Linked DNA regions of Mus musculus: all the other regions are reported to be linked to region 1. The links are microRNA targets in miRTarBase. Many come from high-throughput screens and were not tested one by one. Region 1 holds a microRNA gene; each other region holds the end of a gene's coding sequence.

Evidence for each region. Region 1 holds the annotated microRNA mmu-miR-297a-5p (AUGUAUGUGUGCAUGUGCAUGU, at 1,036-1,057, opposite strand). A microRNA usually pairs through its seed, bases 2 to 8, with sites in the 3' UTR of a target mRNA and lowers its output. Matches are read on the target gene's strand: a 7mer-m8 pairs with bases 2 to 8, a 7mer-A1 pairs with bases 2 to 7 and ends in A, and an 8mer does both.
Region 2: the mRNA of Zfp652 is a reported target of mmu-miR-297a-5p. The part of its 3' UTR that is shown has no 7-base or 8-base seed match.
Region 3: the mRNA of Mansc1 is a reported target of mmu-miR-297a-5p. Seed matches in the 3' UTR shown: 7mer-m8 at 2,333-2,339.
Region 4: miRTarBase lists Ncam1 as a target of mmu-miR-297a-5p. Seed matches in the 3' UTR shown: 7mer-m8 at 605-611.

The regions. Positions count from the first base shown.
Region 1 is chr7:10,957,442-10,960,681 of GRCm38, forward strand. It overlaps Mir297-1 (microRNA 297-1), which reads right to left and starts at 1,071; the gene lies at 996-1,071.
Region 2 is chr11:95,763,659-95,766,658 of GRCm38, forward strand. Zfp652 (zinc finger protein 652) reads left to right here. Exons shown (of 5, transcript NM_201609.2): 5 at 1-1,057. The coding sequence ends at 401. Among named protein-coding and RNA genes, the nearest start is that of Gm38957, 12 kb to the right of the region's middle.
Region 3 is chr6:134,607,314-134,610,553 of GRCm38, forward strand. It overlaps Mansc1 (MANSC domain containing 1), which reads right to left. Exons shown (of 4, transcript NM_026345.4): 4 at 1,894-3,240. The coding sequence ends at 2,655. It overlaps Gm38910 (a long non-coding RNA gene), which reads right to left and starts at 690. Exons shown (of 2, transcript XR_869496.1): 1 at 1-690.
Region 4 is chr9:49,502,713-49,505,952 of GRCm38, reverse strand. It overlaps Ncam1 (neural cell adhesion molecule 1), which reads left to right. Exons shown (of 19, transcript NM_001113204.1): 19 at 390-3,240. The coding sequence ends at 510. Among named protein-coding and RNA genes, the nearest start is that of Gm11149, 14 kb to the left of the region's middle.

The DNA of each region.
Region 1 (3,240 bases):
ATAAAATCTTGCTAGTGTATGCAATGGTGTCAGCGTTTGGATGCTGATTATGGGGTGGATCCCTGGATATGGCAGTCTCTACATTGTCCATCCTTTCATCTCAGCTCCAAACTTTGTCTCTGTAACTCCTTCCATGGGTGTTTTGTTCCCAAATCTAAGGAGGGGCATAGTGTCCACACTGGGATTAAAGGAGTATATCAGCACTCCTGTCAAAAATTTTTAATTAAAAATAGATTGGTTGATTGCACATGGGTGTTTTCCTGCATTTTTGTATGTCTGTTCAGCACCTGCATGCCTGGCACATGTAGAGGATAGAAGAGAGCATGTGTCCCCTAAAACTGGAGTCAAAAATAATTGTGAGTTACTTTGAGTGCTGTAAGTTGAACAAAGGTCTTCTAGAAGAGCAGCCAATGCTTTAACTAATGAGTCATCTCTCCTGATCCAGATTTTATTTCATTTTTTATTATGCATATACTGTGGGAGCTTGTGTATGGATCTGTACACACAAATGCAGTGCTCTCATTAGCCAGAAGAGGGCACAAGAAACCCTAGAGCTCCAAGCTTAATGGCAGGATTGTAGAAAATATATAGATTAGTCTAATTTACACAATGAATTCCCATCCAGCCAGAGTTACATGGGTAGACCCTGTCTCAAACAAATAATTATGTATGCTGAACAACCTCCAAATTGACTAGAGTGAATACCTTAAATTGATTCAGTAGCTAAAAGGGTTTGTCAGGTCCATCTCTTTATTCTGCCCCAAAGGAAGAAACATAAGCAGTCCCGTTGACAATTTAGCTGGGCACTGGAGAGATGGATGGCTTTGTGGTTCAGAACATTGGCTGCTCTCTTCGAAGCACCTGGGTTCCATATCCTGTACTGACATCAGGTGGCTAAAACCATCTTTAACTCTACTTCAGAGAAACCAACATCCTCTTGATCATCTTGAAGCACCTGCATGCTGTAGTACACATACAAACACAAGCAAATACATACATGTATGCATAATATATACATGCAATATGCATACATGCACATGCACATGCACACATACATACATACATACATATTCTTTAAATTTAGCTCTAGGGCCTGGCATGGTGGGACATGCTGTTAATGCCACCTCTGTGAGACTGTGGCCAGGCAATTCTACATAGCAAGTTCCAGACTAGTCAGCTTCATAGTGATACCCTTTCTCAAAAACAAATCAATTAGCTTTTGCACATGCATGCACTTGAGAAATTGAAGTAGGAGGGTCAGGAGTTTGGGGTTCATCCAGGCCTACATGAGATCTCCACCAAAAAACAAAATCACTTTAGCCAAAATGATTAAATTGTGAGGTGTGCAACAGTATATATGACACACAAAGATGCATGAGCTTATGTACAGGAAGAGAGCAGAAAGGACACTGAGTGGCCTGCTCTATCATTCTCTGCTTTTTCCCCAGGCAGGATCTCTCACTGTACTTAGAATGGGGCCCCAGTGTTCTTCTGTTTCTGTTCAATAGCACTGGGGATATTGGGCAGCACATACTTTTTCATGTGGGTGTTGGGAAGCTGGACACAAGTCCCTAGCTTGTGCAACAAGTGCTCTTACCCACTGAGCCACCAGGAAATATGTAGTAGATTTTTTTTTAAATTTAATATCAAAGCGAAAAAGTCTGCATGATTAAAACTAAAGCCCTCGTAGCATGGTGGTATATATCTCAGCTGAAGACAGAAGAAAGACTGTAAAACTCGAGGCCAGCATGAGCTATCTAGTAAGTTCTAGACTACCCAGAACTACCTTGTAAAACTACATTGCAAAACACAAAGACAGTGAAATAATCCATTATCAAGTATTGCAGAGAAACCCAGCTTTCCAGCGTGGAAGTGGAAAGAGCCATCTGGGACAAAGTCTGCATAAAAAGACGACTGCACAAAACATGGGGAGCAGATTTTCTAGCTTGCTCTTGCTGCAGGGGGCCTTCCTAGAGGAAACCAATTGTTCCTTCTCCATGGAGAAACTCAGATCCATGAAAGTGGGGCAACGTGACTCTGTAATCTTATATTATCCATATTTCATGATACAGGAAGGACTATGTGCCTCATAGACCTAAATTAACACGAACAAAGAAGAGATTAGAAATTGCTTCTCCCTTGCTATGGAAAGAGACAGCATTTCACAGGGCCATTTATTGTCACAGTAACAAATGTTAACTTTGGAACTGGAGAGATAGCTCAGCGGTTAAGAGTACTGACTGCTCTTCCAGAGGTCCTGAGTTCAAATCCTAGCAACCAAATGGTGGCTCACAAACATCTGAAATGAGATCTGATGCACTTTTCTGGTGTGTCTGAAGACAGCTACAGATATGTATATTGTATATATATTGTGAGGTGTGCAACAGTATATATGACACACGCAGATGCATGAGCTTATGTACAGGAAGAGAGCAGAAAGGACACTGAGCGGCCTGCTCTATCATTCTCTGCTTTTTCCCCAGGCAGGATCTCTCACTGTACTTGGAACGGGGACCCAGTGTTATTCTGTTTCTGTTCAATAGCACTGGGGATATTGGGCAGCACATACTTTTTCATGTATGTAATACATGAAATACAGATATATTATTATACATAATAAATATATAAATCATTTACAAAACAAAAATATAAATAAATAAGCAAATGTTAACATTGAAAGTATTTGTAAGTTAAAACACTTGAATATTGCTGGGCATGGTGGTGCACACCGATAATCCCAGCACTCAGAAGGCAGAAGCAGGCAGATCTCTATGAGTTTGAGGCCAGCCTGATCTACAGAGTGAGTTCTAGGACAGCCAGGGCTGTTACACAGAGAAACACTGTCTTATAAACAAACAAACAAACAAAAAGCACTTGAAGATTTATCCATGTAGAGAAGGTATTGGGGCCAAGACAAGGTTCTTTCTCAAGTTTCTCTCTGTACTTTGTCATCACAAACCCTAGTTTATTTTAAATTGCTGTTTGACTTTCACTGTTTTTCTTTTTAACAAATACTATATAAATATACGGCTTCTCCTCAAAGCGGTGACATTTGTTGTAGGGGGTTGATGTATTAACAATCACTAGGGAAACTTGAGTCCCAGCTGAATGTGATGATGTGATCGGGCATACACATCCGTCTTCCCAACAATTACAAGATAGAAGCAGGATTATGAGTTTATGGTTAGCAATGGGTACATAGAGTTCATCCTGTAATATATGATGTCAGCCTAAGCTATG
Region 2 (3,000 bases), not on the chromosome of region 1:
GGTTCCGCTTTTCCAACATGCTGAAGGCCCACAAGGAGAAGTGCTTCCGAGTGACCAGCCCAGTGAATGTGCCGCCAGCTGTCCAGATCCCACTGGCCTCAGCTCCAGCTGCTCCCGCTCCGGCCGTGGCCAACACTCCCACCAGCCCAGCCCCTGCAGTCAGTATGAGCCCCGTGGGTGCTGTGCTTCCCTCGAGACCCGTCCCGCACCCTTTCTCACACCTGCACATACACACGCATCCACACCACGCGCACCACCTCCCCATCCCTCCTGTGCCTCACCTGCCCCCACCCCCAGCCCTCTTCAAGAGTGAACCCCTAAACCACAGAAGCCAGAGCGAGGACACCTTTCTGAGACACCTGGCAGAGAAGAACAGTGCGGCCCCCGCCCAGCACCATTAGCCCTAGCCAGTGCCGTCCCCACGGTGAGCTGGCAGAAGGGACGCAGCCGTACTTCTCTGGGGTCTGCCTGACTCCACGGCCTCCTTCAGGGCCTTCACCGTTGTCCTGGTGAGCCCTCAGACTGGCCTGACGGAGTGAAGACGACGACTGCCCTTGAAACCAGGGGAACCACCGAACTAAAGCCCAATTTGCTTGCATTTTCTGATGACTTTTATAAATTTCAGATACTGTGACTGTGGGATTTTATAATTTCATATCAGCGGATGAGGTATGCTTGCTTTTATATCTCGGTCTTCTCCTCAGAGAGGGGTGGGCCTGTTTCCTTTATACTGATCGGGAAGGCTGTGAGGTTAGTCCAGAGCATTAACTATATCACTGTGTACTGCAATGAATTCGGTTCAGCTTTTGGTGCTGGCTGCAGAGTCGAGCTGGCTGCGTTTCACACAATATCAAGCATTATAGAGAAGATGGGAATTTTCTTCTTTGTGTAGCTCTTTTAACACACTCTTTATTTTACTACAGAAATTATTTTAGAGTTTTTGTATAGACTTTAGTAGTCTGTTTCTAAAATGAGATGTATTTCAATAAGCTGTGTAATTTTTTCAGTGTAGCTAAACCCATGTTGTAAAATAGATAAATTTTTATAATCATCAAAATGTGATTCTCAAAGATGCATATAATAACTTCTATCTCAACTATTCTTACATCCATACAACTCAAAGGTGCTTCTGTGACTGGATGTATCTGAGCGGGTCACCAGACCAGGTACAAAAGCAAGGTTCAGTACAAAGTTAGTCAATGAATTGGATGTCTCTGCTGGGCATTCAGTCCATTGGGCTCACTGACACAGCCAGTGTTGGTGTCCCTTTGAGTACTCTATGGATTCAGTGGGGTGGTGTGAGGGAATGGGGTCACTCAGAGTTAGCGGGGCTTGCAAATGTGAATGACATTTGTGAATGCCCTCGGGAGAAAGTGACGGAGGTCGTTTCCTTGGATCACGTCTGTTTCTCACTTTCTTAGAAACTGTGTTGTGCGCAGCTGTTAGGGGAAGATGGATTGGAATCTCTTACTTTGAGGCTCCTGTGTTTTCCAAGAGTGTTAGAAGAAGCTAATAGGGTGAACTGAAATCACAAACGTAATTGCTGGTAGTGACCAAGAAATGTGGATGGGAAGGCAAGTTGACTTTTAAGTTTTAAGATGCCTGCAGTCTCTAAAACGTGGATGTCCACACTGACTGGTATCTGCCATTAAAAATGTAGTGAGAGGAAACCCCCAATACTGTTGCCTGCCCTCTCCAGAGGAGGGAGACCGCAGCATCTTAGGTGAGGAAGGAACAGTGCCCTTGTCTCTCGAGCGGCAGCTTACTCGGTCAACATTTGGGGAACTTAAACAGAGCGTGGTCACCCTGGAGTGGATATACGGAAGGCCAGAGAGAAGGGCTAACATGGTGGTTTCAGTCAGCTGACAGGTGTGCACGGCACAGCTCCTACGCATTCTGTGCTGCTCTTCTCAGAGGCTGAGTTCCAAGAATGGCCTCTGCCTCCCACCTCTCTCCTCCTCGTCTCTCTATCCTCAGGCTCTTAAATCAGACCCTTAGCTGTTATTTATTTATCTTTGATATTAAATGTGCAGTTATGCGTTGTGCACTTTTTCCTGGCTACTTAACTCTGCAGTGGGGACACACGGACTCTGGACTGAGGTTAGGTTCCTGCTTTTAAAGTATCATACTCTAAATTAGTTTTTTTGGTTTACTATTTCTAGATTTTTCTCCAGTTTTGCCCTTGTCTTCTGTAAACATAGGAAACATTGTGTGTGGAGTCAGGAAAGTCTCTCAGGACACACTTTCCCTCCAGCTTCTAGCTATGAATTTTAATGAATGGTATTTGTAATATTTGCATGCATTCTTGCAGCCCTCACAAACCCGAGGCAAACAAGGAAGCAGGTTCCTTTTCTGAATGTCGTGACTTAGAAGTCACCCCTACCCCATTTACCTCCACAGTCTCCTCTGCAGCTTATGGGAAGTCTGCAAATCCACCTTCCATGTAGACAGATCCATATCTCACGGCTAAACCTATAATATTCAAGTATTTTTATCAAAAAAGGTATAATTTGTAGCTAAGTTAATAATTGGTTATACCTTATTTTATACTAAATGCTTTTACAATATGAGGCAGACATTCTGAATTCTAGTCTTGAGGCTGTTGAATTACAACCATTTGATGGTTATACTATGAATATTCATTGAAAAATTCAGGTTGTCAGTTCTGACTTTATTCAAATGACTATAGCCATAAGAAACTGTCCTCTACATAGGAAACCCAATAGCGAGTCAGTAAGCATCACTATCCTTAACAGAAGCAGAAAAAAGAATTTAAAATAGTGACTTAGGCCTACCACACTCTGTCATTCTTACTCAAATGTGAAACAGTGTAGAAATGGCAATATATTTTTTTTTTCTAGAGAAGTTTATCTTCCCTGACTTGAGAAGCCTGCTCTAAAAAATGGCTCTCAAAAGTGTACGACTAATGGGCATATGTATAATGAGATCTATACAGAAATGCTTCGGAGTCAGAAACCACAGGGTCACGCCTTAAACATG
Region 3 (3,240 bases), not on the chromosome of region 1:
GGTGGTGGTGGTGGTGGGGGGGAGGCAGTTATTAGGAGAATGGAGGGGAAGAAGGCCTTGAGGAAAGAGGAGGTGAGGAGAGAAGAGGTGAGGAGGAAGGGGAGAAGCCCTTGGGTCATTTTCTCCTTCTGCCTTCCTGGCTACCCTTGTTAATCAGCTACTGCCCTCTAGTGCTTGCTGTTTAGGTCACATGTGAAGTCCAAAGTGTGTGTGTGTTCAGTGTATGTATGTGCCAGATTGTATGTATACATATACACATATAGGTACCTGTGCGGGGCCAGAGGGGATGGATGTTCGATCACCTGGAACTAGAGTTACAGATGGTTACAGCTGTAGGCTGCCGGCAGCTGAACCCCAGGCCTGTGTAAGAACAGCAAGTGCTCCGAACTGCTGAGTCAGCTCTCCATTTTTACCTTTAAAAACCACGTTTAGGGCCTTAGGAAAATAGCTCAGTCAGGAAAAGGCTGAGATCAGATCCCAGCAGCCACTTAAAAAGCAGGTGTGATGGTGCATTCTGGAATCCTAGCACCGGGGAGGTGAGACAGGGGGATTCCTGGAGCTCACTGGCCAGTTAGTCTTGACAAACGGTAAGCTCCATATTCAGCAAGAGCTTGGATTAAACAAAATAAATAAGGCGTAAAGCAGAGTGGTGGTGGCGCACACCTTCAATCTCAGCACTCAGGAGACAGAGGCAGGGGGATCTCTGTGAGTTCCATGTCAGCCTGGTCTACGAAGCTAGTTCTAGGACACACACACACACACCAAACCTGTCTTGAAAAAGAAGCTAAATAAATAAATATATAGGTGAATCGTAGAGGAAATGACCTGTGTTAGTATCTTGACTGTCAACGTGACACACCTAGAAAGACTGTCTCCTCCATGATATTGACCTCTGTCTGATGGATGAAGGAGGGGGACCCAGCTCACTGTGGACAGTACATCTCTACACAGATGAACCTGGGCTATATAAGAAAGGAGCAAGCCCATCCGCAGGGGTTCTCGTGATTTCTGCTTCAGTCCCTGCTTTAGTTGCTGCCCCGTTTCCCTCATTGGTGAGGTTTGACCAGGAAATGTTGCTTGGTCATGGTATTCTTCACAAGAACAGTGTCAAACTAGACACCACCTGACACTGACCTCTGGTCTCTACATACGTGTGCAAACACAAATATGTACTAACCTGTTTATATCTGGATGGTTCTACCATTCTTGTATAGCCAATAAGCACATTGAAATCCAGAGATGAGAGGTCCAACGGACCCAGATGGTCTTCTCCACTCTTAGTTACCCTAACCCCACTTGTCTGGCAAAATCTCTTCCTTATCAACATTTCCCCAAAATTGCAGAACGCAACCAATAAAAAGTATAGTATACTAATCAAAATGCTACATATTACTTCTGATATCATTCCCAGTGAACCTGTAATTGATGGTTGTTCAAGTTTAGATAGTCATAAGTAATGTCAGAAATTTTTAGACTTGGTACAATTTTAGAAAATGTTAGCACTTTTTAAAAAAAAGTTAGGCCTAATCCTAAATCCCTTGTTTGGCTGTGTATAAGAACTAATTAACTAGCCAGTCACGGGGTGGGGGAGGGGAGCACATACTTGTAATCCCAGATCTTGGATGGCAGAGGCAGGAAGATCAGGAATTCAAGACCACCCTTGGCTCCGTGGAGAGTTTGAGGCCGGTCTAGGCTACGTGAGGCATTGTCTTAAACAAATAAATAACAAAAAACCGTCGTCTCCATGGTGGACTAACACTCTGCTAAGATCCTCCCTAAGGAACTTCTTTGGTCATTGGTGGGAAGAGAGGTCGTAGGTTTTCAGCATGGGGTGCCTGCTTCCCCACTCCCTCACTTTGCTGATGGGAAGAAATTGAAAGCTATCCAGCTGGCTGTGCCGCCAGAACAAGAGATTTATTCAAATATTTAATTGGAGGAAGATACATCTGGAATGAATTTTATTGGAATTCATATAAAATAAAAAAATAAAAATAAAAGAGGACCCATTAAAACTCGTATCAAACAGTTGCCATTATCTGGAATGGGGAATAGTAATGAATCAGAGCTCAGATGTCCTAAACCAACAAGCTGTCTTGATCTAAAGCCAGATACTACGTTTCTAGTTTATATTTAAGTATACTTAACATTCTAGTTAGGAATTATTTTCAGCTACTATGTTACAGACAGATCACTCAGTAACTTAACTTAGTTTCTTTTAACCCTTCTTCTCTTCCTCTTTAAAAAAAAAAGCCAAACAGACAAACAGAAAGTGGTTGGACTGAGGGATGGCTCAGAAGGAGATGGCTTGCCTAGCATGCAGAGGACCCTGACCTGTATGTAGTATTGGGAAAAAAAAAATTAAAAAAAATTTTTTTAATTAAAAATCCAGACATGGTAGTGAAAATCTGCAATCCCTGAACTCAGGAGGCAGAGGCAGGAAGATCAGGAGTTCAAAACCAGCCTGGGCTACCTGAGCCTGTTTCGAAAAGGAAAAGGAAGAGGAGGGAGAGGAGGGAGAGGAGGGGGAGGGGGAGGGGGAGGGAAGTAGGGCTATTCTTCAAGATACAGTTCCTGCTGAGACCGGCTGGGCAGAAGGGACACAGGTGCGATTGGCAATGAGTTCTTACATGAACTAAGAGATACCGAACTTGTCTTTAGATGTCAACATAGATCCCGTTGATCAAGTAGTCAAGTCTTGAATACCGTTTCCTACGGAGGGCTTCAACCAGCATCCTACCCAAGAGGACGAGACCTATTACCAGAAACAAAACACCACAAAGGAGGGTCCCAATGAGAAGCCACTTCTCAAATGAAAGGCCATGCTGGCTTTTTGGACCCTTGTTCAGCGATGCGCTGCCTACACTGACCCTCCTGTCCTCCCAGGAAGCAGTCTTGTTTGTAATGGAAGACTCTGAGGTTGAGCTTTTCCCGTGCCTCGGGTCTGAAGTCAGCGTAGAGCCTCCTTGAAAGGGCATTGTTTCTAAGATGCCTTTGGAGTCTGTATGTGCCTGAAAGGTGTTAGTCAAAGCTGCCTGATGTGTAACCACGGGTGTAAAACTTGTAGACCCTGGGACTCCTGGGAGCTTCGAGGTCACGGTGGTGACAGGTGATGCTGTGGTGGCCTCCTTCTGCTTCAAAGTCTTAGCTGTCACTGAAATGCTGGTCAACAGAAGCTCAGGCTTCAGGGTGGCAGAGACGTTACGGAGGGGAGCCACAGCTACAGTGGTAGGTGGAGTCGGC
Region 4 (3,240 bases), not on the chromosome of region 1:
GGGCACCTCACTGCGTTACTACCACTTGTCACAGTGGGAGAGAGGAACTCCCAGGTTAACATGGGCTGGGGAAAGTTAAGTCTGGAAGAGGAGACGATTGTTCTTGGCTAGTTCATCTCCACCTAGCCATCTGCACCTTGGAATTATGGTTGCATTTAAAGTCACTATACCCAGGATTTCTGGGGACATGCCCCAGGTGTGAGTGGTTTGGAGAGCTCTCAGGTGATTTCAATGTTCATGCAAGGTTAGATGCTGAAGCTGCAACTGAGGCCTCCTCCATCCCATGTGGCACGGGGAGCAGGGGGAGGGTGGTATTTTCAGAGGGGGAGGGCAGTATTTTCAGAGCTCTACTAAGTGGTCTTAGCAACACTGTTTCTGTTTCTCTGCAGAAAGGGCCCTGTAGAAACAAAGTCTGAGCCCCCGGAGTCAGAAGCCAAGCCAGCGCCAACTGAAGTCAAGACGGTCCCCAACGATGCCACACAAACAAAAGAGAATGAGAGCAAAGCATGATGGGTACCAAGCAACAAGCAAAGATCAAAATGAAAAGTGACACAGCGGCTTCACCAGAGCATCCCCAAATAATCCCCCCCCCTCTCTCTCTCTCACATACACACACACACACACACACACACACACACACACACACGCACACACAAACACATTCCTCTAGTGTCTTTTGCCTTTAAAAACAAAACCAGATAAACAACACGGGAATGCCTTTTTGTAGGGTTCTAGAAAGGGCTCCTGTGTCTTACACTCACTTGTTAAGAAAAAAAAGAGACAAAAAGGTTAAACCCACAGCCAAACTAGGACACTCCGTTCCCTGAAACCATTTAAAATTCAGACAAAAGGGCCCCAGATTAAGAATCTAGGAAGCTCAGATCGAAAAAGAAAGAAAGAAAGAAAGAAAGAAAGAAAGAAAGAAAGAAAGAAAGAAAGAAAGAAAGAAAGAAAGAAAGATAGATCTAGGCTCGGGGAGGCTGCAATTGGTATTACCCAATTGGCACAGATCAGTTTCAGAAAAAAATGCTTCCAAGAACTTAGACTAAGGAATGAACCAAGCCCACAGTTTATTTTTATACTTTCAGTCAAGTTGGAACTCTGTCGAACCTCACAAATAAGTTATACTTTCCGTTCAGTTTGTGTTTGTTCCATATGCGGAGTGTGGCACTCTGGCTAGCTGAGTTCAGTTCCCACGGGGACTCCTGTTTCTTAGGAAGCATGCCAAATGCCAGCTTATTCCAGTTCTTTTGCTTTTGATTTTTTTTCCTCTACTCTTTCTTTTCTTTCCCTTTCTTCCCTGTTTATCAAGTTTGCTTTCCAGTGTTTACAAGTTGACAGACTACGTTTGACTTTGGTTGTGTTTAATGTCCCTGTATAAAATAGCTCCCCCCCCCCCCCGCCCCCTGTTTTTTCTTTAAGCAACAGGTACCCCGTAGAGGCAGGTAGAATCCTCACAGGTTGCTTTTAGCATGGGTGAAGGTTACAAAAGATGATTGTTTACAGTGGCTCTATCCCCCTAACCATCCCCTGCCCTACCCCTGAGGATTCTGATTCATTACAGTTTTTACCTGTGTCAAACTGGGGCGAGAGCCCCTCCTTCTGAAATGATTTTGCCTTTTTTTTTTTTTTGTTAATTCTGTTTCTTAGGGGGAGATGGGGGATGTTAGACCACTTTTGGATTAGCTGCCACCTGCCTGTGTCTGTGACACTGGACCTACTGCCCAGGTGTCTGCGCACCCTTCCTCTGAAGGACTCCTTTGGCTTTGTTGAATGAAGCAGAGAAGATTGTATAGTTGGGGCTGGGGCTGGTCTTGGTGAACACACTTTTCTTTTTTTTTCTTTTTTCTTTTTTTTTTCCTTTTTTTTTTTTTTTTTTTTTACCCCAGACACCTCCTTTTTGTAGAAAGCCAAATAAAATATATACATACCACTTCCTTTAGAGCCCAGAATCTAGATTTGAACGGAAGAGCGCGTGTGCTTCAGGGAAGTAGTGTCTCCTTTTGGAAATCTATGGAAGTAAAGTGACATCGGCCTTCTGTTCAGTTAGGCAACATTTGTAAAAAAAAAACAAATATCGTCTGGAGTTATAATACAACTCTCCTGGATCGGAAACCAAGTGGGGGGAAAATACAGAAACTTTCAGGGGATGGGAGGGGGGAGAAGGGAAAAGCCAGCCCTTTGTATAGAAATTTTGCTTTTGTTTTTTCATTCTGCTTTAGAACGCAAGCTTGTGCACTGTGGATGCGTGAATATTTTAGTGTGAAACGTGTTTTTGTCATAGTATTGAAATAAAACTTCAACATAGTTTGGTTGTGGAAGGTATAGCAGATAGTTCAGAAAAGAAAAAAAAAAACACAAACAACTATTCAGGAAACAAAACAAAACAAACAAATCCCAAAAGGAAAAAAAAGGAATCAAGGCCTTTTAATAGGCAATAAAACAGAGTGACACTGATGAAGAGGACGCTAAGCCAACAGACGTCCCCCGACAGCACGTGTTCCTTTCCCAAGTACAAAGTGACAAGAGGTTAGGGTGGCCAGACGCACCCGTGTTCACTCTGTGGGCCACATCCCCCAGGGTTCTGACACTTCTGCAGTGTGACCAGTGGTGATGCTAGGTTATAATTTCAAACTGTGAAAAATAATGGTCTCGTCCTTTACTCAGTGTGGGGTTATTTTGCATTTTCTCAGCTCCCGGGGATGGGAATGGAGGATCCCAGAACACTCAGCCCAGCCCAGCCCCTTTCATTCCAGGGCCTGCACAGATCCACAGTTCACGTACACGGGTCCTCAGGAAGAGCTATCGGGTAGACAACTCTGAGGGCACTTAGCAGAATGGGAGAGCTGGGTAGCACCCGAGCCAGGTCCTTGCGGTGAGGGGCAGACTCCTTGGGCCACAGCCTGTTCCGGGGAATCGCTTTCCCATATGGTGAAGTCGGCGGCTGGACCGGCTCTGCCGAGGGCACACTGTACCTCCTGGAAATGGTGTACTCCACTGTTTGTGGTTGGATACATTGAGCTCAACTCTGATGATAAGAAGAGACAGAGGTATGGCCAACTCCAAAATAATGTGGCCCAGAGTAGCTGACGCTCAGAACACTGGCCACACATTTGCTGGAAGCCAAGACCGCCCACACTTTGATATGCCTCTCTCTTTATACATATGTTTGTCTCGCCATGCATGGGTTTTCCTTTCTTCCTTTTTCTGTTTCTTTTTATTTTTAAACAGCAGTAGTCT